Solanum lycopersicum: one gene and its partners. Each later gene encodes a partner of the first gene's protein in a complex. Links are inferred from orthologs where the notes say so. Each region holds a gene or a part of one and is shown in the gene's direction. Other genes may lie near its edges.

Evidence for each region.
Region 2: CSN3 (region 1) and CSN4 share a complex: the UniProt entries of both Arabidopsis thaliana proteins name them as parts of the CSN complex. The link is inferred for Solanum lycopersicum from reciprocal best matches to the Arabidopsis thaliana genes COP13 and COP8.
Region 3: the proteins of CSN3 (region 1) and COP9 signalosome complex subunit 8 are in contact, whole or in part, in a cryo-EM structure (PDB 9IS6), measured with the Arabidopsis thaliana proteins. The link is inferred for Solanum lycopersicum from reciprocal best matches to the Arabidopsis thaliana genes COP13 and COP9. Residues at the interface, in NP_568296.1 of Arabidopsis thaliana: Asp121, Leu123, Arg124, Pro128, Ala157, Lys158, Gly193, Leu194, Lys195, Lys332, Glu335, Met336, Leu339, Gln340, Ile342, Gln343, Ala349, Leu350, Ile351, Asn352, Gln353, Lys354, Asp377, Ile380, Gln381, Ile384, Lys388; in NP_193147.1 of Arabidopsis thaliana: Met26, Leu27, Ala30, Ser31, Gly33, Ile34, Glu35, Tyr36, Asp56, Phe60, Arg64, His89, Tyr91, Leu125, Ser128, Ala129, Tyr130, Ser131, Thr132, Ile133, Thr134, Asp137, Phe141, Met166, Arg187, Glu190, Tyr191, His194.

Annotation. Positions count from the first base shown.
Region 1 is NC_090801.1:70,960,770-70,971,033, reverse strand, and holds CSN3 (COP9 signalosome complex subunit 3), read left to right. Parts: upstream 1-5,049; 5' UTR 5,050-5,323; coding exon 5,324-5,520; intron 5,521-6,018; coding exon 6,019-6,134; intron 6,135-6,226; coding exon 6,227-6,473; intron 6,474-6,982; coding exon 6,983-7,040; intron 7,041-7,167; coding exon 7,168-7,257; intron 7,258-7,648; coding exon 7,649-7,714; intron 7,715-8,246; coding exon 8,247-8,336; intron 8,337-8,484; coding exon 8,485-8,643; intron 8,644-8,723; coding exon 8,724-8,845; intron 8,846-9,602; coding exon 9,603-9,675; intron 9,676-9,763; coding exon 9,764-9,832; 3' UTR 9,833-10,263; downstream 10,264-10,264. Other genes in the region: sister chromatid cohesion 1 protein 2, read left to right, coding at 219-504, 647-684, 782-819, 1,479-1,537, 1,610-2,166, 2,425-2,536, 2,677-2,813, 2,890-3,344 and 4 more. UniProt on the Arabidopsis thaliana protein: Component of the COP9 signalosome complex (CSN), a complex involved in various cellular and developmental processes such as photomorphogenesis and auxin and jasmonate responses.
Region 2 is NC_090803.1:66,281,566-66,291,261, forward strand, and holds the end of CSN4 (COP9 signalosome complex subunit 4), read left to right. Parts: intron 1-640; coding exon 641-792; intron 793-1,739; coding exon 1,740-1,843; intron 1,844-1,944; coding exon 1,945-2,005; intron 2,006-3,592; coding exon 3,593-3,685; intron 3,686-3,777; coding exon 3,778-3,878; intron 3,879-4,234; coding exon 4,235-4,343; intron 4,344-5,134; coding exon 5,135-5,179; intron 5,180-5,372; coding exon 5,373-5,441; intron 5,442-5,535; coding exon 5,536-5,627; intron 5,628-5,731; coding exon 5,732-5,774; intron 5,775-6,659; coding exon 6,660-6,719; intron 6,720-7,110; coding exon 7,111-7,170; intron 7,171-7,476; coding exon 7,477-7,551; 3' UTR 7,552-7,883; downstream 7,884-9,696. Other genes in the region: probable serine/threonine protein kinase IRE4, read right to left, coding at 8,531-8,629, 8,987-9,064, 9,486-9,629. UniProt on the Arabidopsis thaliana protein: Component of the COP9 signalosome complex (CSN), a complex involved in various cellular and developmental processes such as photomorphogenesis and auxin and jasmonate responses.
Region 3 is NC_090800.1:89,066,035-89,076,298, forward strand, and holds COP9 signalosome complex subunit 8, read left to right. Parts: upstream 1-3,761; 5' UTR 3,762-3,900; coding exon 3,901-3,984; intron 3,985-4,094; coding exon 4,095-4,174; intron 4,175-4,277; coding exon 4,278-4,459; intron 4,460-6,642; coding exon 6,643-6,750; intron 6,751-7,688; coding exon 7,689-7,828; 3' UTR 7,829-8,122; downstream 8,123-10,264. UniProt on the Arabidopsis thaliana protein: Component of the COP9 signalosome complex (CSN), a complex involved in various cellular and developmental processes such as photomorphogenesis and auxin and jasmonate responses.

The DNA of each region.
Region 1 (10,264 bases):
GTTGTTTGCAATCTTGATTACGTTCACATGTTTATGAATTGCTGTGTATATACGTAATGAATGTGATTATTGTCTTGGGATCTTTTTTATTTCAGATTCTTGACACTGTTTGATTCTGTTTTTTTAATTGCAGCACGATGCACATAAAAGTAGCATTAAGAATTTTAATCATTTCTTGAGTGATTTAGATTTGCTTTACTGGTTTTTCCTTTGCTCAGAGAAAATTCTGCATGATGAAGCTCCTGTGGTCACATACAGAATTTTAGGTCACCTGCTCCTGGGTGTGGTTAGAATATATTCGAAAAAAGTGGAGTATCTTTTCAAAGACTGTAATAATGTTCTTGTTAACCTTGCTGATTTTTCAACTCGCAATAGACCAACTAGTAAACCATCAGTTGTAAGGATCGCGGGTATGCATGCTCCTGTCCACTCTATCACCCGACCAAAGAAATTTGAACTGGATACTTTTGATCTGGAAGTCTTGGAAGATCAAGACGCAAACAGGTAAAATAAATACTTTCCATGAATGACGTGGTTTTCCATGTTAATTTGTATGTTTTCCTTTCTCTTTCTCCTTGTGTTTTTTCTGATTGTCGGTTTGGGGTTTAATTATTTCAATCTTGGTTTGCAACAAACTGTTTTGAAGTAGTCATTTCGCATCCCGTGAAGAAATCACGCTTTCCGGTACAGTACATTTCTGTTGTCTTTTAATTCATGGTTACTTTTTTCGGCTTTATGTCACTTACTTTTTTTAAAAGAGAGTTTCTGCTTTTTGTTTCAGATGCTCAGGAAAATTTAGTTTTTGGCTCATCTTGCAAGGTAGTCATTTTATGAAGTATAATCATTTCTTTGGTTTGTTTTGTTAACAGCATGTCTCGGCCTTTGAAACTTTTCCAACAAAAGAAGGCAGCATAAATCACTTTCTGCTTTGTGTTCACTTAATACCACTATCACTGCTTAGCAAGATATACTACTGTTTTCCCTGAATATCTCATAGTTTATGTTAAACTCTTTGCTATATGTTGTTAGAACCTTAGGATTGGTGTAGCACATCGAATCAGTTGATTGATTTTAAATTATTATCTGCAAAGTGGTTAGTGGAATTTGTACTTGTCAAGATACATCATGGATTCACGAATTCACGTAACTGCTTTTCTTTGAACAAGTACTGGACAGTGTTAGTGGTGCTGTGTTTAATTTGAAGAAGTTATTTGATGGATCAAACTGGTTCAAGTTTCTGATGATACTTGAATAAGAATTAGCTTAGAGCCGTAAGCAGTCACCTTCATTTGTTTTTTTCCTGATGATGGCATGGGTTGGTTGGAATTTCGCATAACTACTACTTTCATTTTGTGTGGGTGTTGGGGTTGGGGTGTTCCCGTCTCTATCTCTCAATCTGGTACTGCTGCATGAAAAACTTCAAGCTTTGTTTTCTGTGGATATTCTTGCATACATGACATATAAGCTGCTTTTTTCAGTATGAGGAAGGTGTCTCTCATTCAGAGTTGAAGTCCACAAATCACACTCCAGTTAGAGAGTATGCACTGATCTCGCACCTCTTTAATTAGATCTAGTGCTAGTGCTAAGAATTTAACATTTCATGTTATAGCATATATTCACCTCACCTGATGGACAAAGATTTGGACTTCAACCCATCAGTTGGGTCAAGCCACGTGGAAGCTATGTGGAACCTTAATGAGACTAGATTCTCCTTGGAAGAGCGCTTTGAACCAATGACCTTTGGGGACATTGAAATTCAGATGATCTTTGATAGGAAAGCTGATCACCAGACTGGTGATGAGCAAATGAAAGAGTCGAGTGCTGGGAACTTAGTAAACGAGGAGCATCTTTATGAAAAGAGGTCATCTTTGGAAAAGCACGCAGAACCGATGATTATCACAGAAGCTACATTGGAAATCAACACCGATCAACAATCTGAGAAAATTCATCAGCATACTCGTGAGCTCTTAAAACACCCTGATGTAGGAGTGAATGTAGATGATGAACAACCAGCAGTCCTTGGTGAATCATCTCTTGTGGAAAACTGTGGTTTTGAGCAAAAGAAAAATGTTGAAGCATCTTCCTCGAGGAAAGGGAAGGATCGGACTAAAGTTGATCGATCAGTGTCCCTCTGTATTGATGTATCCCCAGAGACCAAGATCGCAGGTGATTCCTTTATCTGGTTTACCTTGTTCTTTCACATATCTTTTAGTTGAACAGCTGAATCCGACCGGAAATGGAATAAGCTGCACCTGCCACCCCTCTTTTTCCCCTTCACCTAGAAAAAATAAGGAATATGTGTGCCCCTTCTCACCCTTTTTGCTTGCTTGTTGGACACAATCTAATTTGTCCCTTCAGATGCCCAAGCAAATCATGTTCTAAAATGCTTGTTGTTTTAACCAACATCACTTTCTTCTAATTCAGGATCTACATCACCGGATTTTATATCTATTCGCACCCCAGCTAAGAAGGAGCGTAGGCGGATTTCAAGGAAGCGGAAGTGCATATTTGATGAATCTATTGTGATCCCAAATGAGTACGATCCTTTTCTTTATTCAACCTATTGCACTAAGATATCCGTATGCAGGATCTTCTTGTTGTAACCTTCTTTAGTTAGTGCAGTTAAGTTCATCGCATAGTTAGAAGAGATTGATGTGACACAACCCTAACATGCAGGGTATTCAAGCACTGGATTGGCGATGCAAATGACTTAGTTTGCAAGAGAAGGAAATCCCCTCATTCCAGTTATTTTGCATGGAAAGTACATAAAATTTCCTCACTTCCTCAGAGTTTTGAGGAGCCTCTTATTCCTTGTGAGTAAAGGTTCAAACACTGCCACTGCCATTTCCGTGTTTTAGGTAATTTAACTAACCAACTGTGGCAATGCAGGTAGTCTTTCGATTGATATTGCATCAGCAATTAGCAAAATTAGATCAGCACAGCATGGGCCTGCAGAAACAGTAGAAATTCCTCTGCGTGAGGACATGCCAGACTCTCCTTATAAACTCAGATCTGGGGAACAAATACCTATTGCTTCTGCTACATCTATGCATGAGTATTTACCTGAATCTCCTGGTACCCTCAGATGTGGAGAACAAATACCTGATGCTCCTGCGGCATCTCTGCATGTGGGTGTACCTGAATCTCCTAATACTCTCAGATATGATGGAGAACAAACACCTATTGCTCCTACAACACCTGTCACTGGCTCAAGTTCGCTGAGATTTCATGATACGCAAGGAACTTCTAAATCACACATAGAACCAGCAAGTTCAGCTGAAATCACAGAGAAAGAAGCACTTTCCATGGAGGATGTAGAATTTGAAATGAATTTAATGGACGAGGTATGACACGATTGACTAGTCTGATTGCTTACATAAGTAAAGGAAATTGCTTTCAGCTACTGAAGTGTATTGTGATGATTATTAACTTTTTTTGGAAATAAAAAAGTTCTATTGTCTGTATCTGTTATTGCAATGCTAATAAGTGCTAACTGCAACAAATGCGCTCTTTCCTCAGGAGATCAATTCATTTGAAGGGGATACCTCAGGAAAATGTAAGGAAGTACTGTTTTAGTGGTGCAATATTATTTCAATTGAGTTGCCATTCTCATAAGTTGTTGTCTTGGTTGCAGGCAAATATTCCCTGAGAACAGGGTATGATGAATAAGGGATCTCAGTTTCAATTCTTGCATCCCCTTGTCTGTGGCATCTTTTGGTTATGACTCTCAGAAATTTGTGAAAATTCATTTCTTCTGTTTTTGGCGGTGATCCAATTTTTGGCTTTTTGCATGCAGAAAGGTCGCAAAATTCCTGTTTGAAAACTTCCTTGCTCGGAAGGGGAAGGAGGAGGTAGAAGTTGTCAACTTGTCCTTGCTTATGAAGGGGAAAACAAAGGGAGACAGTGCAAGGGTGTTCTACGAGATACTGGTATTGTTTTTAGGTTCCTTTCATCTTTCTGGTAATTTTAGGTCTGCCAAATTGAACTTGTGGATGAACGGAATTATTTGATACATATTTTGAGTAGCGCTTTCAGCAGGAGTTTTTGTCCCTTGTTTCCCTTCTGTCAAGCATCCAGGATGTGCTCTAGATGGTGGTGCTTAAAAAGGAATTTCTTTGGTTCTATTGTTGTTAAATGCCCCCGTGTTTCTTGGCCTATAAACATTGGTTATAATGGACGGACACATGAATTTATTTTACGCATTTGTCTCTGGTTTTACGTAAATATAATCCAACGTAAGATATATACATTGTGAATTATTTACAATGCTTATTTTCCACGCAGGTTCTGAAATCAGGAGGCTGTATAGATGTGCGGCAGGATGATGCCTACAGTGACATTCTTTTGCAAAAACTCCCAAGACTAAAGCAGACCTTTGAAGCTGAGTCCTGAATCTATATATATATGTTCACAAAGAGAGCTGTGTTGGTAAATAGTAGCCAGAGGAAACAATCACATGACATATATGCTTTTATATATGTTTGGTAGTATATATGAGTGGAAGAGCGCTTTTCTTTGCTAGCTATTGCTCTTCCTCCTTAACATGAAGGCAAGTTAGGTTATTGTTAACTATTATGTCTTCTATCAGGAATTAGTTGAATTTATTGTCAATGTTTTGGTTTATAACTACTACTGGTGCCCAATTTAACCACTTGTGAAAAGCTATTACTCCAATTTTCTTTAACATCAAATACACGAAAAGGCTTTTTATGAGAAAATTGTATACCCAATATATATCTGGAAGTGGTTATAGAAAAATATTGCTCTACAATGTTGTCAATTCATAGGCGTTTTAATCAACAATGAGCAATAATAGTTGTGACTTATGTCGTATAAATATCATGTTACATTTGTATTTGTGAGTTTTAAAAAGCTTTTATCGCGAAAAAAAAAAAAAAAAAAGACATGGTAGGAGTAGGACACAAAGAGGTCTTTCGTGTCTTTAAGTACTCATAGAATAAAAATTAGTTTATGCATAAAAATTTTGATGTATTATTTGATTGTCAAATTCGAAATAATTTATTCCTCCAATTTTATATGTAATGGAAGAAAAAAAATTAAAATAATTTTTAGGTATTTTTAAAATGTTTAATAATTTCTTTTTTAAAAAGAAGTTTTTGTAATCTCTTTATATAAATTTAAATTTAATAAAAATAGATGAAAACCCAATCGCTCTTTATTTTTAATTTATATAAGAGAAATAAAACTGGACATAAAAGAAGTCCCAATTATTTCTTTTTATTTATTACCCAGTCCAGTTGAAGCCTCGTCTCTTAGACGTGAATCTGCTGAAACTCATAAGTGTGTTGATTGGGCGAGAGAGATGAATCTGAACATGAATTCAATGGAATCAGTGGTTGCTCAAATCCAAGGGCTATCGAGCAATTCATCAGACATAACTCAGCTTCACAACTTTCTCAAACAATCGGAAGAGCTACTCCATTCCGACTTCTCTCGCTTGCTTTCTTCTCTCGCTGAACTCGATCCTTCTATTCACTCCCTAGGTTTTCTCTATATTCTGTAAGTTCCTTTTCATCCTCATCTCTTATTCTTATAACCTAAACCTAGGGTTTCTATTCTGAAGATTATTATTTGTTTAAATTAGCCATTGTTAGGTTATATATATAGATATATTGATTAAAACACCCTGGGCTGTGGCTTAGTCATCGTGGGCTATGGACGATGAGGTTTCATGTTAAAATCCCAATGCAGGTGTTTTTTTCCCATCTGCCCTAACTTTGTTGGACACCTGGTATTGGTACGCGTGGAATTAGCTTGGTGGACACCACGGTGATTATGAAAAAAGAAAAGCTAATTGACAAAGAGGATTGTTATGGTCAACACCAATACATGTAGGATTGAGGCATAGTTGATTGATTGATTACATAATCTATAAAAATAATGCAGAATTGAACCATCCACTGAATTAAAGACCAGTATTTGTGTAACAAGTGCGCGTTGTCTTTTGTACTCTGTCTAGTGTGTATTAATCATATAATTGTGTTTGTTAACTAACAGGGAGGCATGCATCTCATTCCCAGTTGCAAAGGAGCATGTTAGTGAACTGCTTGTTTCTGTCGCTAGATTTATCAATTCATGTTCTACAGAGCAAATCCAGTTGGCGCCCAATAAGTGTAATTTTCTCTGGTTTCTGGAATAGCTTTTGTGAATATTCTTGTTTCTGGTCTAACTTATATTGAGGCACGTCTTCAATTTGTGGTTGCAGTCATTTCTGTTTGTAAAAAGTTCAAGGATCATGTTTTCGGACTGGAAACTCCGATTCGTGGTGTGGCTCCAATGCTGACTGCTATTCGTAAACTGCAATCCTCCCCTGAGCAATTAACAACATTGCATGCCGATTTTCTTCTTCTTTGTCTATTAGCAAAGTGCTACAAAACTGGCTTCTCTGTGCTGGAGGATGACATATATGAGATTGATCAGCCACGGGAGTTTTTTCTCTATTGTTACTACGGGTTAGTTGTTTCAGACTTTCTGCTTAGAAGTTATTTCAGTTGTGTTGGTGTCGTTCCCTTGTTCCGTTCCTTGTTTAAATTTCTCTGTGACTTTTAAAAAAAAAAATTGGAATATTTTTTATGGCAATTCATTAAATCATGCTTTCCTATCAGTGTGTTTTCTAATTTTTATAGGAAAGAGGAACTTTACTCGCCTATGAATATTTGTATTTGCTTGTATAGTTATCTGGTGAAAGAATTAATTTTGTTCAAAAACCCATGGTATTGGTATACAATTATCTACGTCTGCCTTTCTTACCTTTGATATTGTTTAGTTCTCCAACCTAAAGACAAAGTTCTTAACAGCAATGTGAATCACAAGTGATGTATCAATTTAGAATGAGATTGAGTAATTCAATATTTTCTTAATTAAAAAAGTCACTGATATAATCTTTCTATCGCTTTCTGGATTTTTCTGGATTTGTGTCTTATACTTGTTGACATGTCTTATAATTTGAACATAATAACAGGGGAATGGTTTGCATTGGACAAAAGCAGTTCCGCAAAGCATTGGAACTCTTGCACAATGTATGTTACTGTGTTCTCATTCCATGTTTCCTTTATTGGTATTTGGTTTTGTTATTCCCTATTTGCAAGTTACTATATATTATCTATATCTGTCCGTTTGTGCTGATTCTATCTGTTATGCTTCTAGGTTGTGACTGCACCTATGTCTACTCTAAATGCAATAGCAGTTGAAGCTTACAAAAAGTACATTCTGGTTTCACTGATTCATCTTGGGCAGGTGTGTTTTGCCACCATTTTTTACATACTTTTGGTGATAATATTTAGTCAATATTCTTGTGACGTCTCTGTTGGACAACAGTTTGTGAGATCTATGTGTCTTTTCTGGGGCTTGAGCTTGCACTGCCGTATAACCTTCTTATTTTACATTATGTATGATATTATCACCGATGGACTCGTTTAGTTTGAGCCACAATGTGTCAACTTTTTAAAATGATTTTGGCTTGTAATATGCACTTTGAGTAGAGATGTAAGCACCCCCCTCCCCCCCTCACCCAAAACAACAACAAATATGCACAAAGTAAAAAAGAATATGATAGGTCATGTTTCCGATGTTTATTCTTGCTGATTTTCGTTCTCCTGATTAAATTGAGGTTTGCTTATCATGGCAGTTCTCTACCAGTTTTCCCAAGTACACTTCTTCCGTGGCTCAAAGGAACTTGAAGAATTTCTCTCAGGTAATTATTTCAACTGTGCAAACATTGATTCCAAGTAGCACCGACTGTTCCACCCAAAGCAAATTGAAAGGAATATTTTCCCTCAAATGATTTGATGACAATGCAAGCTCAGTTAAGTATGCACAGTTGGCGTTACAATGTTGATGTTAGAAATCTTGTACTGATTCAAGTGTTGTTTCAAAGTATAAGCATTGCATATTTTGTATTAGCACTTAGCAGGCTAGGCATGAAACTACATAAATGATAATGAAACAAGAAATATATCAGTATCTAATAGAAGTGAAAGAAAGAACGCATTTTCGTGTATCGGAAAAGTCACTGTTTAGAGTCCTCAAAATCTGTTTAGTGTACTCAGCGAAGAAATAAGGTGACCAGCTGGAAGCTTCTGAAATCCCAACAATATTTTCTAATATAAAATGAATCCAATTTGGGAGGAGACTGAAGAGACGCCTCATCAAGGATAATTCTCTGTCATGTGTGGTCCTTATGTGTGGAATATAACATAAACTACTTATTATTTCTTTTTGAGCAGCCCTACCTGGAGTTATCAAACAGTTATGGGACTGGAAGAATCTCTGAACTTGAAACATTTGTTCAAACAAACAAGGAGAAGTTTGAAAGCGTAAGTTTTCTTGTGGTCAAACTGGTACATTTCCTGATCTTCTAGCAGCTAAGATGAAAGAGCATGGGTGCAAAGTTCTCAACTCCCAAACTCCCATGTTAGTCCATCTTTTGTGGAAGTTGTAACAATCTTTTCATTATATTTTCAGGATAATAATCTTGGATTAGTGATGCAAGTAGTGTCTTCTATGTATAAGCGCAATATTCAGCGGTTAACTCAAACGTACCTAACTCTCTCCCTCCAAGATATTGCTAACACTGTCCAGCTAAGAGACCCCAAACAGGCAGAAATGCATGTGCTTCAGATGGTATCCTGCTTTTTGATCTTGGATTGTGTAAGCCTTCAACTTTGAAACTTGAAATGCTGATGTTTCACTTTTGGTTATAGATTGAAGATGGTGAGATATATGCAACAATCAATCAGAAGGATGGTATGGTTAGATTTCTGGAGGATCCTGAGCAGTATAAAACGTGTGGAATGATTGAACATATCGATTCATCAATTAAGAGGTAAGACTTCTGTTACTTCGGTCATTGGATATGGATATTCTACATTTTACTTGTAATTAGACGGTAATTTTTCTGTCCAATGTGGTGGCTATAGGCTATAGCTACTGATTGGCTTTTTAAGAATTTAAATGTTATCTCAAACTCCAAATAAAGTTGGAATGAATTTGAACTTATGCACATGGTACTAATGATGGATGTCATGATATGCGCAAAAGAATGCCAATTTCCATCCAGCAATTTGGATATCTGCACCAATTGTACCTACATAAGGGAGATGTTTCTAAAATACTAGCGAGTGAGGGAGGGTGAAATTAAAATTTAGTAATGTTGTACATAAATAGGTTGGAAATTTTACTTTGCATCGCTTGGGGGTTATTTGGTTGGAAACTAGTTATCCCAGGATATCCTGGGAGGGATATAACTTATCCTACCATGTATATAGGATAACTTATCCCATCACTATGCTATAAATGGTGGTAAAAGTTATTTCAAACAACACATTTAAATTTTATCCTTGGACTAATTTTTTATCCCAGGACTATTTATGCTTATCCCTCACACCAAACGAGCCCTTATTGATAGTAGGGTAAGGCTAAAGGGTAGGGTTCTCCATTAGATTTACTTTAATCTTTTCATCTCTATCTCTCTGTGTACATATGTTCTAAAGAATTTTACAATATGTGAATGAAACTTATGTCATGTGATCCTATGTACATATGTTCTAAAAACTACAATGATGTATGTTTTTCTATTGCAGATTGATGGCAGTGTCGAAAAAGTTGACGTCTATGGATGAACTTATGTCATGTGATCCTATGTACCTAGGAAAGGTAAAACTATGTCAAAGTCCTCTTTCGCTAACTGCTTAATATAACAACTGTATTTTTCACTAATTTAATGTGTTTACTTGCTATGCAGGTTGGTAGGGAGAGACAGAGATTTGATTTTGATGATTTTGACGGTGTTCCTCAGAAATTCACTATCTGAGACTAGCAAAGTTCAGTTTTCTGAGTAAATATGGCAAATGATGCTGATATGTTCATTTGAAATATAAGCAAACTTTATTCCATTGACCTCAAGAAATGGCTAAGGAAATAGGTGTATTTAACTCCTGGTTCAATCAGTGGTATCATGTTTGTTTTATTTGCCCTTCTGCTTTTCGTTTTGTGTGGGCAGGTTGAACTGCTTGCTCTAGTTTTATTTTACTATCTAGCAAGGGAACTGTTTAGTTGTAGTTAGAGGCTAGGAGGATGATAATGTTCATCTTCTTTAGTGGACATTGGTGTTTTAGTTAATTTGTTTTGTAGTAGCAAGTTCCTCGAATGGTTAGAGATCTCCCAGTTTTTAGTTATTACAAAAATGGATACCCTTCTTTGTACTTACTTATAATAGTAAAATAAGATGCTTTGCATGGTCAAC
Region 2 (9,696 bases), on another chromosome or scaffold:
TAAGTTTATTTACGACTATGCAGTTCAGTTACTATCTCATCATAATTTTGCTATTTATTTTGCATTCATGTTTTATGTCTCTCAGCTGAAATAGATATAGAAGATTTATATATTCTCATATTCTTACTAGTTTGGGATTGAGCCGCTGTTTGATTGAGATTGTGTGTGATTTATGCATTGCAGCAACTATTTCATCTCAATTTTCTGTTAATTTTATGTTTATGTTGTAGATTTCTCGGTTGAAATAGATATAGATGATTTATATAGTCAGATACTAACTGGTTTGAGATTGAGCCGCTGTTTGATTAAGACTGTACGATTATGCAGTGTAGTTACTATCTAATCATAATTTTGCAACTTGTTTTATTTTTCATGTTGTATACGTCTAGCTGAAATAATATGTATAGACAATTTATGCAGTCAGATTCCAGTTGGTTTGCGATTGAGCCACTGTTTGATTGAGATTGTGTATGACTATGCAGTGCAATCACCATCCAGCTGTCTAATCTTAATTTTTCCTGTAATTTTTATATTCACGTTGTATATTCTCAGCTGAAATCTAAATAGAATATTTATAGTCAGATTCTAACTAATTTGGGGTTGAGCCGCTGTTGTTTGATTGAGTGTGTACATTATGCAGTGCTATCGGATGACGTGCCCTTGGTGGTATCTAGACAGCTATTGCAGACATTTGCCCAGGAATTCGATAGATTGGAACCTGATGTTCAAAAGGAAGTAGCACACTATACTCTCAACCAGATACAGCCTCGTGTGGTGTCCTTTGAAGAACAAGTATGCTTTGATATTTCTATTTTGTTAATTGTCAGATTCTTGACAACTCCTTTGCAGCCCATAGTGAACGATACTTGGACTTACATTAATGCCTTATATATCTCTAAAATTTGGTGCTTCAGAATGTCACTAGCATCAGTTTGTCTTTATTTTGCTTTGTCTGTTGCATCAGGTGGTGCATATGTATTTGTAAGGGTGTAGCATTTGGATGTTTGTAATTTCATTTCTTAAAACTTCATAAGAGAACAGCAAGAATGCTCTATCAAGAAAAAATACAGAGAGGAACATGGTATGAAGAAAGAGAATTATTGAATCAGCATGACAATATCTCTGCCACCTAAAGAGAAGGCCTGTTTTAACGATTGAAATCACGTTCTTTTACTAATTATGGGATGGGAAGTACTTATCAGAAAAAAGGATGGCAAATTTCCAAATAATTGTCTTTCAGAAAGTAATCTCTTTCTAATTGACCATTAAAGTTAGCATCTCTATTTTTATTAAAACCAGTTAAAATAATAGGCTAGAAAAGAATTTGAGTGTAGTACCAGGAACTCAATACACGGGCCACAACCCACATTGGGACCATGGGGTTGTTTATTATGAAGTGTGTTTTTTGAGTTGGTGTTGGATGGAACTATTGCATTGACACCTTTGATTCCTTTTCGATGGAAGTGATTTTAAGAACTGAATTTTGTGAGAGTGGGCTAGCGCCAAAGTCACAGAATTATTTGTTTATCTTGGGATTAAAAAGTTTTTCCGGAAATCATAGTTATCTTAAAATTTGATGTGTGTCTTGAGTATTTTAGTTTTGAGAAAATGGTACAAATGAAGGTCAAAATTGGAACTCAGCATATTGTCTGTTGTCATCAAGAGATCTCCACATACAGGTTCTTTTGATCTTTTATGTTTTTACTGCCCATTTCTAAAACAAAATCCCATATTTTCAGGTGTTGATCATTCGGGAAAAACTTGCAGAATTATATGAGTCTGAGCAACAATGGTCAAAAGCAGCTCAGATGCTTAGTGGCATCGATTTAGACTCTGCAATGAGGTCTGTGTTACACTTCTACTTATCTTTGCTTGCCTGCTGCTGTGTCCCTTAACTTATCTTTGGAAGCTGAAATTTCTATCTTCGCACTGCTTCTTCTGCAGATTCGTTGATGATACATTCAGAATTTCAAAATGTGTCCAAATTGCTCGTCTCTATCTGGAGGTTGGATTTTTCTTTTTCTTTTCTTTCTATACTTCTAATGCCAAGTAAACATATCCAAGTTAACGATCCTTGTTTGGTTTGGTAGTGCACCTTTCAACTTGCCTGACAATTGATCTGCTCTAAAGAGGAAGAGGCGAAATCAATTCATCAATATATGTGCTGGAGCGACCTATCAATTTTTTTAGTTTGGTTAACTAATTGTTGATATTTATAAGAAAACAATTAATAACTTGCTAGTTTGAGCTATAGGGCGTTGTTGTAGTGCAAGCGTATTGATTACGGGAATATTATACAAAAGGCTTTCTTAAAAATTCTCATAGAATCTAGAATGAAGTTTTGATTCTATACATGCCATATCATGAATTAGTAGCTGCTTCCAATTAAAAGAAATTCTAATTGTGTTGAACTTTCCATTTTTGTAGTAGTTATGGAATCTTCATGAGTAAACTATAGTCCACACAACCATATCTCCCAATTGAAAAAGATAATTACTACATGAGACAACACATTAGATAAAGGAAAAATCTTTCGTTCTTTCTTTTTTATTTCTATATTATATAGGTATGTACAACTTTATCATCAATTTTCTTTACCGATCAAAAGTAGTTTCTAGTATGTTTGCCCAAACTGCTTCAAACACCTAAGGAACCACCAAAAGTTTTTTCTACAAAAAAGAGTTTTTTCTTAGCTGCACCTAAGGGTGTAGCCTAGTGGTCAATAAAGAGGGTTGAGAACTGTGAGGCCTTAGGTTCAATTCCCAGCGGAGACAAAAAAGCTAGGTGATTCTTTTCCATTTTGTCCAAGCCTTGGTGGATTGCATTACCAGTACCTATGTTGGTGGGATGTTGCAGGTATCCCGTGAAATTAGTCGAGGTGCGTACAAGTTGACATGGAAACCACAATTTAAAAAGGAGTTTTCCCTAGCTCCTTCCTTCGCGAGGAGGTTCACAACCCTGCTTAGCGCTCGATAACTTGAATTTTCTGCATAAGATCTAGCAATTTAGTTAAGAGTATTTGTGGTGATAGATATTCTCTCCAATCACCATTTATTTTTCGAAGCACACCACCCTGCCGATTCCCCCTGGCTTGGGTTTCCTATTGAGGATCCGTCAATGTTAAGTTTGTTGGTGTTCCCCGGTTAGAAATTTGGTCTAGTTCTGAATCGGTAAATACTTTCAGGAACGTTAGTAGGTAACAAATGAGTATGCACTGATTTTTTTAAAGAAAAAGGTAACAAATGAATATGTAGCATGTGAGCTCCTTTCTATGTGGCATTTATTCTGCAAGTTGTACCGATGTTGTCTTTCTTCTTGATGAGTAAACCTTTTACGGTTCTAATGTGACTTGTTAACTAGTGTGCTATGTACATTCTAAGTATCTTGGTTTCCTTTCAATTGTATTGTTCTGCTTACTATCAAAAGGAAAATTAGAGTTGTAGATTTGGTTCCTGTACTGCTACTATGCACCCTGCTATTGTCTGCTGTTTATATATATGCATTGATCTGAAAAAGTTCAGTCTACTTCCATTATTTTGGTTCTCTTTGGCATTCTAAGTTTCTAACAGTGTTCCAATTCCTTCTTTGGCAGGATGATGATGCAGTTAATGCAGAAGCGTTTATAAATAAAGCTTCCTTTAAAGTTAACAACATTAAGAATGAAGTATTGAATTTGCAGTACAAGGTTGTTATCATATGATCTAGGGCATTTTTTATTTTTGAGCATGTCACTGTCACTGGCTAATATGTCAACTATTTCCTGAATGATTATTTCAGGTTTGCTATGCTAGGATTTTGGATTTGAAGAGAAAATTCTTGGAAGCTGCCTTGCGTTACTATGACATTTCTCAGATTGAGAAGCGACAAATTGGTGACGAGTAAGTCTTCCAGAAAATACATCATGTTAAAATAATGCTTCTCTCAACGATTTTTGAGTATTTAAAATTGTCTGGCTAGTGAGTGCGTATTATATATTTGCAAGCTCTTAGGAAAAGGTAGCGGACACTTTAACTCTTGTTCTGTGTATATGGGCAATATAATCTGCAATCCAAGCGGAACTGATAAGGTCTACGGCTTAGGAAAACTAAGAATATGCTTATGTTCCAAGATCAAAGGTTTAGCTTTTGTCTTGAATAATGTTATACACATCCTGATGTCTGTGATCTTTCTTGGTACTATGCCTCCTTTATTTAACTGAGCACAGCATGAAGCTTAATGATTCTTTACGCTACAGAGAAATCGATGAAGCTGCCTTAGAGCAAGCTCTGGCAGCTGCTGTGACGTGCACAATTTTGGCTGCAGCAGGTCCTCAACGATCTCGTGTACTTGCCACACTGTACAAAGTAAGGATGCAATGACTTAGAGCTTTAAATGTTTTGATTGTTATTGTCAAAGAGTGCAACTAATGGGCAGGTTGTTGTGGAAGTTATCTTCTGTGGAGTTGTTGAATGAATGATTTAATGGTATTTTTATTTATTTGAGTATTGGGATTAATATTATCATGGCTGTATCTTGAATTATTGAAGTTAGTCATGTCATTTGTAATTATGATGTTATAAGCTATAATCCTTTCCATCCTTATGAGGTATGGTAACCGAGTAAGGTCTGCGTAGACCCCCAGTTGTAAGATATATTCCTTTCTGGAAATCGTGGGCTGCTAAATTCAAAGAAGATTACGCATTGCCTTCTTCCTTAAGGCCCCAGAGTTCGCATCTTTCTTGCGCTTCTCACTTTAGTAACACTGTTTGTAATAACTAATAGCTGTATGAACTTCTAATTCAATGGTTTGATATTTGCTCTCGTTTGCCAAGAATGTGAGACCACTCATGGGAAAGGGCAGGTGCATTGCACCAAGGAAATGGTAACAACTAACCACAAATAGGTGATTTTATATTTGGTGGACATGTCATTCTGTTGTCTAATACCTGCTAAAATTTTGCTGTTACCATAACCTTTGAAAAATTGAGGTTAATTAGTTTTCTCCGGCAACTTCCAGTTGAGATCTGCCACTATGTAGTCATATTTGTATTTTTTTAATGGGTCTCAAATGACTGCCTACACTGATCCCCTCCTATGTGCTATTTGTTCAGTTTTGCTATAACAATTTTTCTTTTTTACTTATTTTGGATAACAGGATGAGCGTTGCTCCAAATTGAAAATCTACCCAATCTTGCAGAAGGTACTTCACTTGCTGCTTCATACAATTTGCATAGTTCTGTCTCCACTCTCTTTACTTGTACCGAGTTGCCTGTATGCTATAACCTCTTTGCATTTGAGTGTGGATTTTTTATGTGCATATAGTGTTGTGTCAGATTTTTTACGTATATACTATTTTTAATAAAATTAAGTTTTGTTTAATTTGAAATATTCAGGTATATCTAGAGAGAATCTTGAGAAAACCTGAAATTGATGCTTTTGCAGAAGAGTTGAAACCACATCAGGTTCCCCCTTTTTTTGGGTATTGCTTTTTTTTCAAAATGTCAAAATACAAGATCTGATATTCGCTGTGTATCTTATTTTTTTGTGTTTCTACAGCAAGCACTTTTGCCTGATAACTTCACAGTTCTGGATCGTGCTATGATTGAGCACAATCTCTTGAGTGCTAGCAAACTTTATACAAATATAAGGTAGAAAGGAAGCTTATCTTTCCCTTGTTTTTTGTGATTTAGATTTTTCATAGCTCATGCTTTTCTATTATCTCAAGCTAAATCCCCTCATTAATCTGTGACAGTTTTGATGAGTTGGGCACTTTGTTGGGCATTCCTCCTCAAAAGGTACCTAATGATGTTGCTAAGCTATTTTTCTTAATTTTTGCTGTTCTTGGGCTAATTATTTGGGTTTTGTTGTCAACCCACTAGCCCGAGTTGATGCATAGCAGTTGCGACTGTTGTAGGAACTATACGAAAATAGGATGTTTTAGCCTTTTAGGGCGGTTCGTGGCTTGGTTAATCTATTTGCAGTAATTCTTAGTGGTCCCCTCTGGACCATTTATTGAGCGACATTTAATTTTCAAAGCAATTATCAAATGAAGAAACAGATAAATTGTTCTCTCATGCTATGCTGCAAAAAGCATATTTCCATCATCCTACTTATGCATTGTTTCTGGGTAAATCCACAAGTCAAGTTTAAACTGTAAACGCTATTAGGATGATAGAGAAGGTGATATTATTTTAATGCATTTTTGAAGTTGATTCTTAGCCTATGCTGCTCAGCCTTTGAGGTCTTCTAGTAGAAATCTGATTTTGAGAAAAAGATGCTGCTTCACAGTATTTGGACATGCCTCTCCCATTCTCGCTTGTTGATTTCCATTTTTAATGTACTAAGATCAGTTTGCTGTTGTCTTGCCTGACAAGTAATTTAAACACCACACAACCAACACAATCTTACATGTCAAATACTGTTTTCTTCAGTGTATTTGGACATGCATCTCCCATTCTTGCATATTGATTTCCATTTTTATGTACTAAGATCAGTTTACTGTTGTGCTTGTCTGATAAGTAATTTAAAACTCCATGTAACCAACGTAATCCTTCATGTCAAAGTGTTGCCATCACTCTTATTGCTTTCCATGGCTGTTTTGGGTACCAAAATCAATTAACGACTGTGCGGCTTCATTTTCATCTGTAACTTATTCTGTTATAACAATTATTGTCATGAAGGCTGAGAAAATTGCTTCAAGAATGATTTTCGAAGATAGAATGCGGGGATCCATTGATCAGGTAAATTTCTCAATTAATAATGCCATCTACTCATTTCTATCTTTGTCCTTGAAAAGAAGAGGAGATGATATTGGGTCATGACTTGTCACTGGCTAACTTTAGGTACAGAGTGTCCATATATGCCATATATACATACTTGAATTCCCTATGCCACCCGTAATGCTGATAGTAATATGCCTGGATTGTAGTTTGATGTGGAAGATATTATCACATACGATAAATTTGTTTTTAACCCATTGTATAGTAATTATCAGTGACTATCACACGAGATGTATTTAACGAGCAATATATGCAAATAATAATATCAAACTGGATAAATATGGTTGGAGACAAAAAAATGAGTTCCATTGTAGTTTTAGCATCTATTAATTTAAGTTGATTTTATTGTCAGGTTGAGGGCGTCATACATTTTGAGGATGACACTGAAGAGCTGCAACAATGGGATCAACAGGTGATTTAGTTTCTAACATGCTTGGAATCTACTTTATGTTTCTTTTCTCATGGAAATCTACCTCTTCCGTTTGAAATCTATTATTATGTCTCTAGATCTAAACATATTCATCAGAGCACTCTTTAATTTGTTGATAACTTGATCAAGTTTTAATATATGTTATATAACATTTTCTGCTCGCCATCAACACCGAAAAAACATTTTTCATGAAAAATGACTTTCCTTATACCAAGCTCCGTCTTTCTTGTTTTCAAGGTTTTATTATTGAAATGATACTAGTGTTGACAACATTGCTAATCTTTGCAGATCATGGGCCTTTGTCAAGCTCTCAATGATGTTCTTGATAGCATGGCAAAGAAGGGGCTCCCTATTCCTGTCTAGTTCATTTTGTGGTCATTTTTGAAGAATCTGGTACGATGCTGATGCACTCCTTCCTCATACCATTTACTGGACTGGCGCCACTCTATACTTTCACCAGTTTTAAAACTTGGCTCGGAACTCGTCTCTTTAAGTTAGATTTATATTGTACATGACACACCTCTCCTCCAGTTCAATGGTTTATTATGGATATAAATGTTAATTTTGTTACATTTCTCTTTTCATAGGGTACTTGTAGGCATTGTATTCTATTCAAATCATAACTGATTAATTTGTGCCATTTCCTGATTTTACCTTCACCGACTGATTATAAAAATGAGCGGACATGGAGTATTATTACTCGGTGTAACTTTTGTAATCTAATTTTCTGTAGTGTAAGCAACTTTCGGTATCATCCACGGCAGTGTTCTAATTTACCAGAGTTTTAACAAGTTCTGGTACACAAGGACATTTTCAAACATTTTCAAATAGCATGAGAAAAGGGAAGAGAGAATAATGATATAATCGAACCCTCGAGGATTATTCTATACAACAAGAATCCCAAGCTGCTGAGGGCAATGTTAATTCCTACAACTCTACTTCACTCTCAAGAGTGTTATTCTACACAATAGGAATTTCAAGTCATAAAGGGCAATGTGATTTCCGGCAACTCTTTTCATTCTCAAGGATGGTCCATCCTGGATGGAACAACTACTAGCTAGAGATCTCTAACATTTGGTTCAGCAGACGATATCAAGCGCATGACAGCCACAGGACGTGCGCTATTACTAATTTTTGACAGGATTTGTGTCAAAAATTCTCATCGGTACCGGTAAGCTATAAACCTTGTTGGTGAGAACATTGGGTTAGGATGTCACACAGGTACCATCCATTTCTCTGAAAGGGAGAGATCTGATAGGATGTCCGCTTGAATGGCGGGGTACATCCCCTTAGCAATACCTTCCATTTGTTTGGATATTGATGAAACTGAAAGAAGATAAGCTTATTCACTTCGACCCTTACATGGAGATGAGCATCTTGACGAATCGAAACCACTTTGTATGAGCATATCATGATTGATAGATGCCAACTGAGACAGATTCTGCAATTAGAACACACGGTTAAGAAATCTCACAGATTTTCGATTCTTATACCAATCATAAATCAAATGTTAGATATAGTTGGAACGTTTTCTCTACTTTATTTGTTTACCTAAAGAGTGAAACTATGCAAAGCTTTTTTGAGTACTTCTGAAAAAGCTTTAAGCGCCATTACAAGATAGAGATGAGTTAAACTACTCATTTTGGCATGGAAGCCAACCTAGTAAACTGATTCAGTTTGCTAAATTTCAATGTTTTTTCTTTGGGCTCCACAAGAATTGGTCGATAGTCTGAGTAAATATAACAATATGATTGTGGTTGAGCACTCACGAACATATCAAGTAAACATCATGGCATACCTTGAAAGAAAAATTCATCAAGGATAAATCAAGAGGAGAAGGATCAAACTGAGTGAGATCAACACATTCATCAATATTCTGCAAAATGAAAAATCAATGGAAATTCATGTCAGAGTAATGTTAGGACAAGGTATCCTCTTAAGTTTATTATTCTTAACAAGTTCATGTGCATGGTTCTGGTATGTATATGCTAAATACTTGCGTAGGCTATGCAGCAAATGCTGAATGGAGCTATGCTGTGTACTGATTACTTGAGTAGGACATGCATCATATGCTGAATGGCAATAGGTCATCTCAATTACAGCATGTAACAAGCTATTCGTGATCAAGTTTTATCCATCTCGATCCATCTAATGACCATAATAAAGTTGAACCACTATTCTCCATCCGTTATGTTAAGGGGAAGAATAGCTTCCAGAGTTGATTATGAAACATCCTGATACGATGAGTATTGAGTATACTTGGACAAGTGAATGAATACATGGAGAACATAGGTTACCTCAAGTCCAAAGTTCGAGGAGAACTCAGAGGTGTCAGAAGCAGAATCATTACAATCTTCATCATCATGCACTCCACTTGGACCATACCGGGATATAAAGTAGCTTGTGTCATCAACACCATCAGTCTGTGGTACAAAGGCTGCCTGCAGATGAACAATCAGAAATCAAAGAAAAGAATCTGCCTCAAACTAAATTATTTCTCTTTCGTAG
Region 3 (10,264 bases), on another chromosome or scaffold:
TTAGGGATTATTGGCCCAGTTTCTTTTAGGTGGGTTTTCCCGGCCCAGCTCCAATGACTTTATTTCATTTTAAAAAATTTGAGAAAAAATTGTTTGACTCTAGATAAACAAAACGTGTTACATAAATTAAGATACAACAAATACTTATATACTTTCTAACGTAACAGCAAAATACTCAATATCAGAGTTTGCGTCTGCACAGATCCAATATGTAAATAATATATTTTTTTATTTTTATGTAATAATATACGAATTTTTTTTGATGTTCAACTATAAATAATTGTTGCTTTTTAGAAGAATTGAATATCGAAAATTATGTTTTATCATAAAAAATGTGACTTTTGTTTCTTCGATTATTAATAAAAGTTTAAAATCAATTTCAATTAATATTCACGAACAAACAAATCAAATTCCGATATATTTTCACTTTGATAACAATTATTTATTTTTTTTTGCAAATTACAAATTCTTTAATGGCTAAAACTGCTTCTAAATTTAAAGATAAAATGATCAAATGCTTAAATTTAAGGGAAAATACCCAAGTACCCCCTCAACCTATGTCCGAAATCCCAGAGACACACTTATACTATACTAAGGTCCTATTACCCCCTGAAATTATTTTATATGTAATTTTCTACCCCTTTTTAGCCTACGTGGCACTAGTTCGGAAAAAAAAGTCAACCATCGTTGGACCCACAAGATAGTGCCACGTAAGCTAAAAAGGGGTAAAAAATTATTAATAAAATAAGTTAAGGGGGGTAATAGGACCTTAGTATAGTATAAGTGTGTCTCTGAGATTTCAGGCATAGGTTGAGGGGGTACTTGGGCATTATCCCTAAATTTAAAGATAAAATGATCAAATGCTCCCTTAATCTATACTTAAATTTTCAACTACACATTTGAATTTCACCGGCATTCTCTCACCACCTTGAGCTGTTAAAAATAAAAATAATTACACCCCTAAAAAGTTACAATCACATTTATGTTGATAAAGTGAAATGCACGCGTTTGACAGGTGAAAAATTTATTAAAAACATTTTTTTTCCTTATTGATTCGTCATGTAAAAACTTTGTTGAAGGTTAAAAGATCAAAATTTATAGATTTGTGTCTTTTGATCTTCTTATTTGAATTTTGTTGATTATAATGTTGATTTTTATCTTCACTCTCTCAAGGAGAGTGCAATACACTCACTTTGTCATGTAAGCATGTCGGGTGGTAATAATTTTAGTTTTAAACAGTTTAGGGGTGATAGAACTCCCGTGAAGGATAAGTATATAGTTGAGAATCCGATCATAGCTTAAGGGGGAATTTGACCATTTTCTCAAATCTAAACAACTAATATCTATTACTATACAACGCCATAATGTAATAACCTAGATTCATATCAAAGTAAGTATTATATTCATTACTATTATTTTTTATAATCGTGGTCTACAACCAATTATTGAATATTTGTTATCTTCTACCAACAACAAGTATCATTGTAACTCCATTATAAATGGAAGGGCAAAAAATTATTATTTAAGATTTGAACTCGAAACTTCGTGGTATTCAACCTACTCCAGTAACCGGTGAGAATAATATAAATAATCAAGCTTTATTAATGACGTAAATGTTATTTCAACAAAATTATTTCTTTTTCTTTACTTTTTCGTTGTATGGTAGACTAACAATAATTTGGTGTTTTGGACATATAATTTCATTCCTTGATTTGAAATCAAGATATGAAATTAATATTTGGAAATCATGAGAAGAATATTGAAATTCTCTAAAAACCTTGATTTGAAGATTTCATATCATAATTTTGTATTTTTCAAATATAAAAATTGATGCACAAATTTATATTCTATAACAAAAATATCAATTATTAAATATTTATTACCATTTCTTTGATATTGATATTATTATTATCCTACTAACCTTTAAATCATGTACATCAGTTGTAACTTGTCACTTTTAAGTTCTATCACTAAAATAATTAGATATCATTACTCTTATCCACTTTTAAACCATTTATATTTGAAAAAACATACCCAACATAAATTTATATTTAGAAAATAGTATACTCATACTGAATTTTACTTTATTATTGAACCAAAATTTGTTTCATCTCGTGTTTCTTAATCTAATATACTAAAATTAATTATAAAGTTAAACTGTAATGTCCAAATAAAAATACGTTAGTCAAACATTTTACAAAGTAAATGTCCCAACTATATACTTCAATATCATGTAGTGTTGTCCTTATTTTGGTGTCAATTTTAGTTTTTGTTCTTAAATATGATGTTTTACTAATTTATTCAATATAAATTTTAATACTTTTATCTCACCCACTATAAAAATCCGTAGAACCTAAATTATACGATATAAATTAAATTATATTTTTTTCATAATTTGTTATGATGTTTAAAAACTTGTTATAATTTGTTATGATTTTTTTCATAATTTGTGAAGATAAAGAAATTTGATAGATAATATGGGATGATGACAAGATATGTGTGTAAGTTTTTGTGTGTTATTTAAAAGAAACACATATTATCCCTCCTGGCATACGAGGTATGTGATTTACAATATAGGCTCGTGCAATATTAACATTTTAATATATATATTAATTTATAGTGCCTTCTACGTAGGAAATCATAATACAATCATGGAGAAAAGACATAAAGTTGTCACTGAATTTGTCACGTATTTTTATAAAGACCCTTGAACTTTGAAAGTGTCCTATCTCCCAACAAAACTTTTTAATATCTTTGTAAATGAGCCATTTTGACCCATTTCCTTGTTTGGGTTGTGACCACGCACATAAATCTGTGCTACAATGCTTTCACTGTCATTAACCAGCTTAAAAGTAACACATGTCGCTTTATTTCTTTATTATTAATTATTAATTTGTTTACCTTATCTTTCCCAAATTTAAACTCAAAATAGCCATTGATAGCCACTCTTTATGATTTCATTTTTTTTTCTCTAAAGCAAGATCAGATACACTCTTTTTGACAAATACATAATCTTCTCCTAAAGCAATAATGTAGGAATTCTTTCTCTTTAAATTTTCAATAAAATGGTTTTTTTGGGTGTATCACTAAAAGCATCAGATTCAATTTCATTACTAAAAACAATGAAGAATAAAAGTTTGAGAGTCCTCTCAAATGTTTAACTGAAAATACACTACTCAGGAGGACAATATAATTAAAAAAAGGCCGACATTAAAATTATTTATCAATCTTCAACAAAATTGTATTTCGAAAAAATGACGTACCAATTCAAAATACTTGATTGGAGAAATGATGGCGAGTTGAGGTCCAAGCTTCTCCTCTGCAGCTTTCTTTGCCTTAACTCTAAGTTTTTCCAACTGCTTTCTCCTCTCTCATATGCTGCCTGAGCTCTGTCTTTCCTCTTGTTCTCGAGTTCCTTGAAAGAAAAACAAGAAAATCTGAAAGAATTGGAAAGCTAACTAATAACCAAGGAAAAAAAACATTTTTCTACTTTATAAAAAAATTAGATTGGGCTAAACGGATCAAAAAAAATGAGCATCACGCGCAGTAATCAAGACAAGGAAATGAGTCAAAATGATTCATTTACAAAGATATTAAAATTTTTTATAGAGTGATATAACACTTTCAAAGATAAATTATCTTTATAAAAATATAAAACGAACTTCAGTAATAACTTTATGTTTTTTCTCTACACGTAAACAAGAAACAAGAAACATGTGTCGTGAAAAATGTTAGTATTTTTGTTATTTAGTATCCGGATATGAAAATCACCTTTAAGTAGCCCAAAGGCCCAATAACCAAAAGCCGAAACTATTTAATACATTGTAATTCCGATCACCCAGCGGGGAGTCGGTGACGGAGTAGAAGGAGAATCGACGACGAAAAAAACAGTGCGCTTCAATGGATACTTCTCAACTCAACGAAGCCTTGGCGTCCAGCTTCTACGACAAGATTGCTGATATTTGTGATGATCTCATGCTCCAGGCAATTTCTCCCTATTTTTTTCTCTTTATTTATCGTCTTTCTAGTGTAGTTCTTTCAGTCGATTTAAGAGTGAAACCTAATGTTTCTATTCGCTTTATTTGTATTCATAGGGTGCCGCTGAGGGAATCGAATTTCAAGATGAATGGCCGTACGCGATTCACCTTCTAGGTCATATTTACAGCAATGACATGTAATCTCTTATTTGCAACTTTACTTTGGAATTTTAGGGTTTTAAGTTGGATGATGTTAGGGAATTGATTTAGAATTACATTGTTATTGTTTTACTTTTGCAGTAATAGTGCGCGATTTCTGTGGAAGAAGATACCTGCAGCTGTAAAAGAAGCCCGACCAGAGGTGGTGGCTGTTTGGAGGATTGGGCAGAAACTTTGGACAAGGGACTATGTCGGTGTACATGAGGCTATTCGTGGATTCAGCTGGAGTCCTGAGATTCAGCCCTTTGTGGCTTCCTTTGCAGGCAAGTTTGTTTATCTTTATTCTCCATAGAACAAACGGTAGAGACTTAGTTGATCATCCTTTTTTGTTTAAAATTTGATTGGCTTCATTTAATTCTAGTCGTCTAATCAGTTCTGGTTAGAAGCTTTACATACTGTACTGTATAAGTCCTAGCAACAGCCCAAGATTTGTTTTTGCTTGTCCAATCCATAGGATTATAGGGTTCTGAATGATGAAGATGAAAGAACCCATTGAGTAGGTAAAACGTTGAATATGTGAACAACTAAGACATAGCATCTCTAAGTTATAGTGGTGCAAGAGGAGTGTCACCTCTCGTTTTGAAATAAAAAGGGAGAAGTTAAAGTGAGTGTTGAGATTTTTTACCATTGTCAAAAAATAAAAGTGTTGAGATTATATTTCGAAGGTTCTATCTAGTAAATTTATACTATAGTTGGCATTTGGAAGGAATTAAAATTCTTTTCTGTGCCTGTCAAAAGCATAGAAGGTTTTGCTGCTACAACTAAGAATTGTGACTTATAAGAAGTGCCACTTTGCCAAAGGAGTCTAGCCTCTCTTCTGGGTTAAGATAGAATGTGGATCAAGTAAAGGATTAACAACAAAATTGCCATTGTTGTGAATTAGTAGAATCTATGGATCTGCACAAATCACATAGTTGGGCTGCAGTCAAAGATTAGCTATTGGAGTTTGATAATGGCTTGAGACTACAATGATGTTCTCTGATCTTATCTTGAAGTCTAGTGCCCACTTTCAGGTAATCATCTTAAGTGGGCTGGTAGAATTGTTCTCTACAGGTCAATACATCTTGGTACAACATCAAAAAATTTGAAAATGATATGTTTTGTTAGCAAGGCCATTGGCTGTTTGGTATGAAATAGTCAGTATAAGCAATTATTTAGTATGGGTTTACTTAGGATGTATTTACTGGCGTGATCCCCTGAAAGGAGATCATAATGGTGATGCCTTTCCCAATCACAACGTGTCAATTTCGTTCCTGGTTGATGTCATGATTGTTGGATTGTTGGTTGCAGTATCATCTCCATGCTTGAATCTTGATATGTATGTACTTATTGACCTAGATAATTGTGGATAATGCTCCTATTATGTCTCCCCATCCTATTTTTCTTCGTTGTTGATTTTGCTGTGTGTTCTTTTTTTGTCAATTACTCCTTATATGAGTTGGACGAGCTTAATTGGTTCTTTGTTTTCCGCATGCGCAACTTTGACAAGGCGTTTTATTTACTAAAACAAGGACTGTATACTCTTTCTTTGTACACCATTTACTGATGGTGAATTAGTTGGAGTCTTGGGTTGTTTTAATTATTGGGTAACTCTCCAGATTCATTGAATTTATTATATACTTGACTTTGGGAAGATAGCTATTGAGGAAAAATATCTTTCCACATATAAAGGATAATTTGGCATGTAACTTTCTACTAATAAGACACACAGTAATACTAATTCCATCATATTGCTTTCATCCCACCTATATAAAAAACAAAACTATACTACTACATTTTGGTGAGAGGTCAAGGATTAAGTGATAAACTGATGTAGACATATACCAAAAAGATTAAGTGATTACTCAATCTATGTTGAAATGTTCTGTCTGGAGGATTGGTTATGGACCTGTGGTAGACAAAGCAGCATAAATGAAGTTGTTTTCAGACCATGCTGATGGAGAGGAGCGCAACAGAATTTTCAGCATGCTTAGTTCCGACTCTAGGATCTTCTGTTGTGGTTAGAAGTAAATTAGTTTAGTACTATTTTTGTGTTTTGTAATTCATGCAGCATTATATTTTTGTGACGTCAGGTGAAACTATACTTCACCAAATTATTATTTTCTTCTGCCATATTAATTGGGGCTGTATTTGTAAGAAAATAAAATGATTGTTAGCACATTATTGTAGGGGGTGGTGGTTACATATATCCTTAATTTAAGTTGGTTATTTGTTTAAATATTAGACCACATTGCTGGGGAAATGTCCGAATAGTTGCTAGCAATTTTTTAAGAAAAGCTTTTACACAAATCTGTGAAGGGAGCCATATAATGTAAACATAAACTTGAAGAAGTTCTTGTGCCCCATTGTTTTCTTTGTGGTTTTTCTATACAGGACGCATAGATATACATGTGGGTACTTATTTTGCTGTATATTTGATTTTCATATCATTTTCATCCTTCTGCAGAATTATACAGAAAAAGGATGTTCGAGCTCCTTCTTTCCGCTTATTCAACCATTAGCACACAAGACTCAGCTCACTTCCTGGGAATGAATGAAAATGATGCTACAAACTGTAAGTTTTTATCTACAGCGTGCATGCTTGTAGTCGTAAAGTTCTTTTTTGTGTACATAAGAGGACTAAATGAACTAGTGTCTGTCATAAGGAATCCTTGTTGTGTCTGCAAGGAGAATCGTCTCCATTCTCTTCATTGTCTAGCAGACTATAATTTGGACTTGATTGGTCAGGTATCCTTTCACCTTTCACCTTTAAAAGTCATGCTAAAATGTTACTTTCTAAACCTTCTGAAAAGGCTCTCTCATATCTCAAACTCTGCTCTTTGATGTGTTGGTAGTTGTTCCTTTATCAATTTCACACCCCTGGCGGGGGGAGTTTCTTAACATCTCCTTTAGTTCCTCTGATAGGATTAACCGATACATCTGGGATGCCCATCAATTCAGCAATTAGGCTAATAAATTGTCCTAATTTTTCCACTTATGAAAAAAAAAGAGTCCTAATTTTTCCAAATTCAACTTTCCATTAATCTTAATTATCCTAATGAGGCTATCTAATCTTGCAGTTGGCACTTCCATTAATGATCAATTTGAACTTTCTGATAGAGAACAAGTGAACTGATTAGTTTTGGAGTCATACACTGGTCTAAACTGTAATTTGGAAAAAGCTAATCTTATCAAAAGTAACATTGTCTTCGATTTTCCGGCAATGAAGTGAATTAATAGTACTTCCAACTTTCATGTAGCTCAACTTTAATAGCAATCTCTTTGGTGGATTGAAGGTGATTATTGAGTTTGAAAGGGTATGTAAGATAATTCTAATATCAGATCGATTTGTTTGAAGCGGTTAACTAATTAAAATAGGTTCACATACAAATGTTAAGAAGCACATACAGTGAATTCTTTCAAATGCATATCCATTTATCACTGCATCCCAACCACAATATGTTCATAAGTTTTCACTGTTTGGTAACAATAAGTTTGTCGTCTCCCTTTCAGATGTGCTGCAACAGGGTTGGGCTTTGGATTCGGCATCTCAAATGCTTACTGTGAAGAAACAAGCAGTTCTAACAGAACAGAAGTTAGACCCCAGTAAATTACAGCGCTTGACTGAATATGTCTTCCATCTGGAGCACTAAACTGTGTGCTGACTCTGCCATTAGGTGCTTTTCTTACTCAAAATGGTTGAAGAAATTAGCTTGCTAAATTTTATAGCAACAGATCTAAGCATGGATTTACTACCATGAAAGTCGAGAAGAGTACAGTTTTTGAGAAAATTTCTTTGTTAAGGGGCATTAGTAGATATTAAACAATGTTGAACGATCTTCTTTTATTTTAATTTTCATTTTTTCTATTAAGATTCTCCATTCCGTTCCCTGCTCTGGTGGATGTATTTTGAACATTTTGCATGGAAGAGCTTCAGGTTCCATTCATTCCTTTGAACAAGTATGTTATGCATATAGATACACTAGCCAAAACACCCATCCAGTTCCCAAACTGAGTTTTCTCACCGAGTCAGCATTACATAATACGGCAAAAACATGTGTTTCTATATACACTGAAGCTTTCAAAACATTTTGGCCAAAAATAATGGTGTGAACATCAAGCAGGCTTGTAACCAGGATACGCACTCACATTTTATATATAAGTTCTGCTTACGGTGATGCCCGCTGAAATTTTGTTATCGTCGAGTGAATCATCTCCTCCTACATTGGGGTCGATCACCATCCTCAGCAGCACTGGCCAATAAAACTGTCCCATTACACCTGTAACGTTAACTGCCCGGAGGTAATTATACGTTACATCTGGGAAGCTTGCAAGAATTTCATTAACAGTGTCCCAAGGAACCCAATCTAGCAATTCACCAGAAAGATCACCAGGTACGTCACTATGAACTTAAAACTGAAGCTCTAGTGAGTAAGAAAATAAGAAAGTGTGCGCAAAGAGCCCATGCAACCTCGACTAGTTCAGATAGGTAAAGACGTTTAAGGCATTTAAGAGCGGAGGGAAGCTTAGTTGGTACTTCACCTGGTCCTGCAAACATAAACTAGCTAGGCAGGAAGAAAATGTCAAAAGAACAGGATGGTTTAGAAATTGGTCCTGCATGAAGGGCCAAAAGGTGATAGATAGAAAACGTTAGTGAATCGAACTGTAGGTTCCCCCAAGTGTTTGATCAAGCTTCAGCTGTGACAGTCTACACCAATTATATCTCCACTTCTTCGATAAGATACTTGTCCGCAAACACAAAAGTATCTCATCTTACTAAGTACATCAAGAAGTAAACAAATTCTTTTCTCCATTAGGAGTCGTCATATGCCAGAAAAATCTGCAGAAAACACGAAAGGTAAGAAGTCGCTTAGGTACATGTTTTCTAAGTCTACTAAACCACAAACAGAACCATAGGCGTATGCAGGATTTCAAAAAGAGGGGTGCAAACTATTACGAAATAATGGACATGAGATATGAATTTGATCGATTTAATCTTTAGGTTCTTTTTATCAATGAATCTGTTAAACTTTAAAAATTATAGGTTCAATATTATTTTTTTAATATATTCAAATAGTACTAATTTCTATATATATAGCTATATTTCCTACTAAAGGTATTGAAATCGGTTGAACTTCATCTTGATTGTATGCTATAATATCATCTAGTACTACAAGTTTTAATATACACATTAGGTGCAAAAATTAAATAAATTACACTACTACAAATATAGGAATTTCTACTACTTAGTTAGAGACGTTTGATTTAAATTTCTTAAAAGAGGTGCACCTGATATTAATCACACTTCGCATTATATATACTTCAAGTATAAGTTCACACATTTATATTTAGATATTTTTTTTGAAAATTGTTACAACACTACTATATACTTGTTCACTTTTTCTTTTTTTAGTTCTTCTTAATTATTTTTTCATTTTAACAACTGAGAAAGTACAATCTAGGAAGGAGAACATGCATTCACTCAAATATTGCTTTTCTGCAGAACTTAAATATTCAATTTGAGCTGCATTTATTATATATACCCAGAAAATAAAAATAAACTCTTGATTTCAAAAATTCTATAGAACTAGGATAAAAACAAACAAACACATGAGTTATGTTAACAATGAAGAAAAAAAAGAGAGAAATTGAAGATGAATTAACCTGAGGGTGAAACTTTTTGATTTATGAAGTGCTCCTAAATGGCTAATCCAATTGTATTTTAATTAAATAAATTGGGAATGAAGTTGTGATTGACACCACATAGAGTAGAAAGAATAAATTCCACAAAAGAAAATAAGTAGTACTAATACTTAACAATCTTTCCGCGCGTTGAATTGTTTATTATGTTTTGATTATCACATTATTTTATTATTAATTTTGGCTTTTTGTTGTTAGATTTTGCTTCATGTATTGTTCATTTTTACTATATTTTAATTATCACATTATTTTATTATATTAATTTCGAATTCTTATTATTAAATTGTATTTGAGCTAAAAATGTCTTTCAAAAACAATATCATTTTTATAAAATAATGAGTATATTATTATTATTATTATGGTTGAGAAAAACACCAATAAAATGTTGA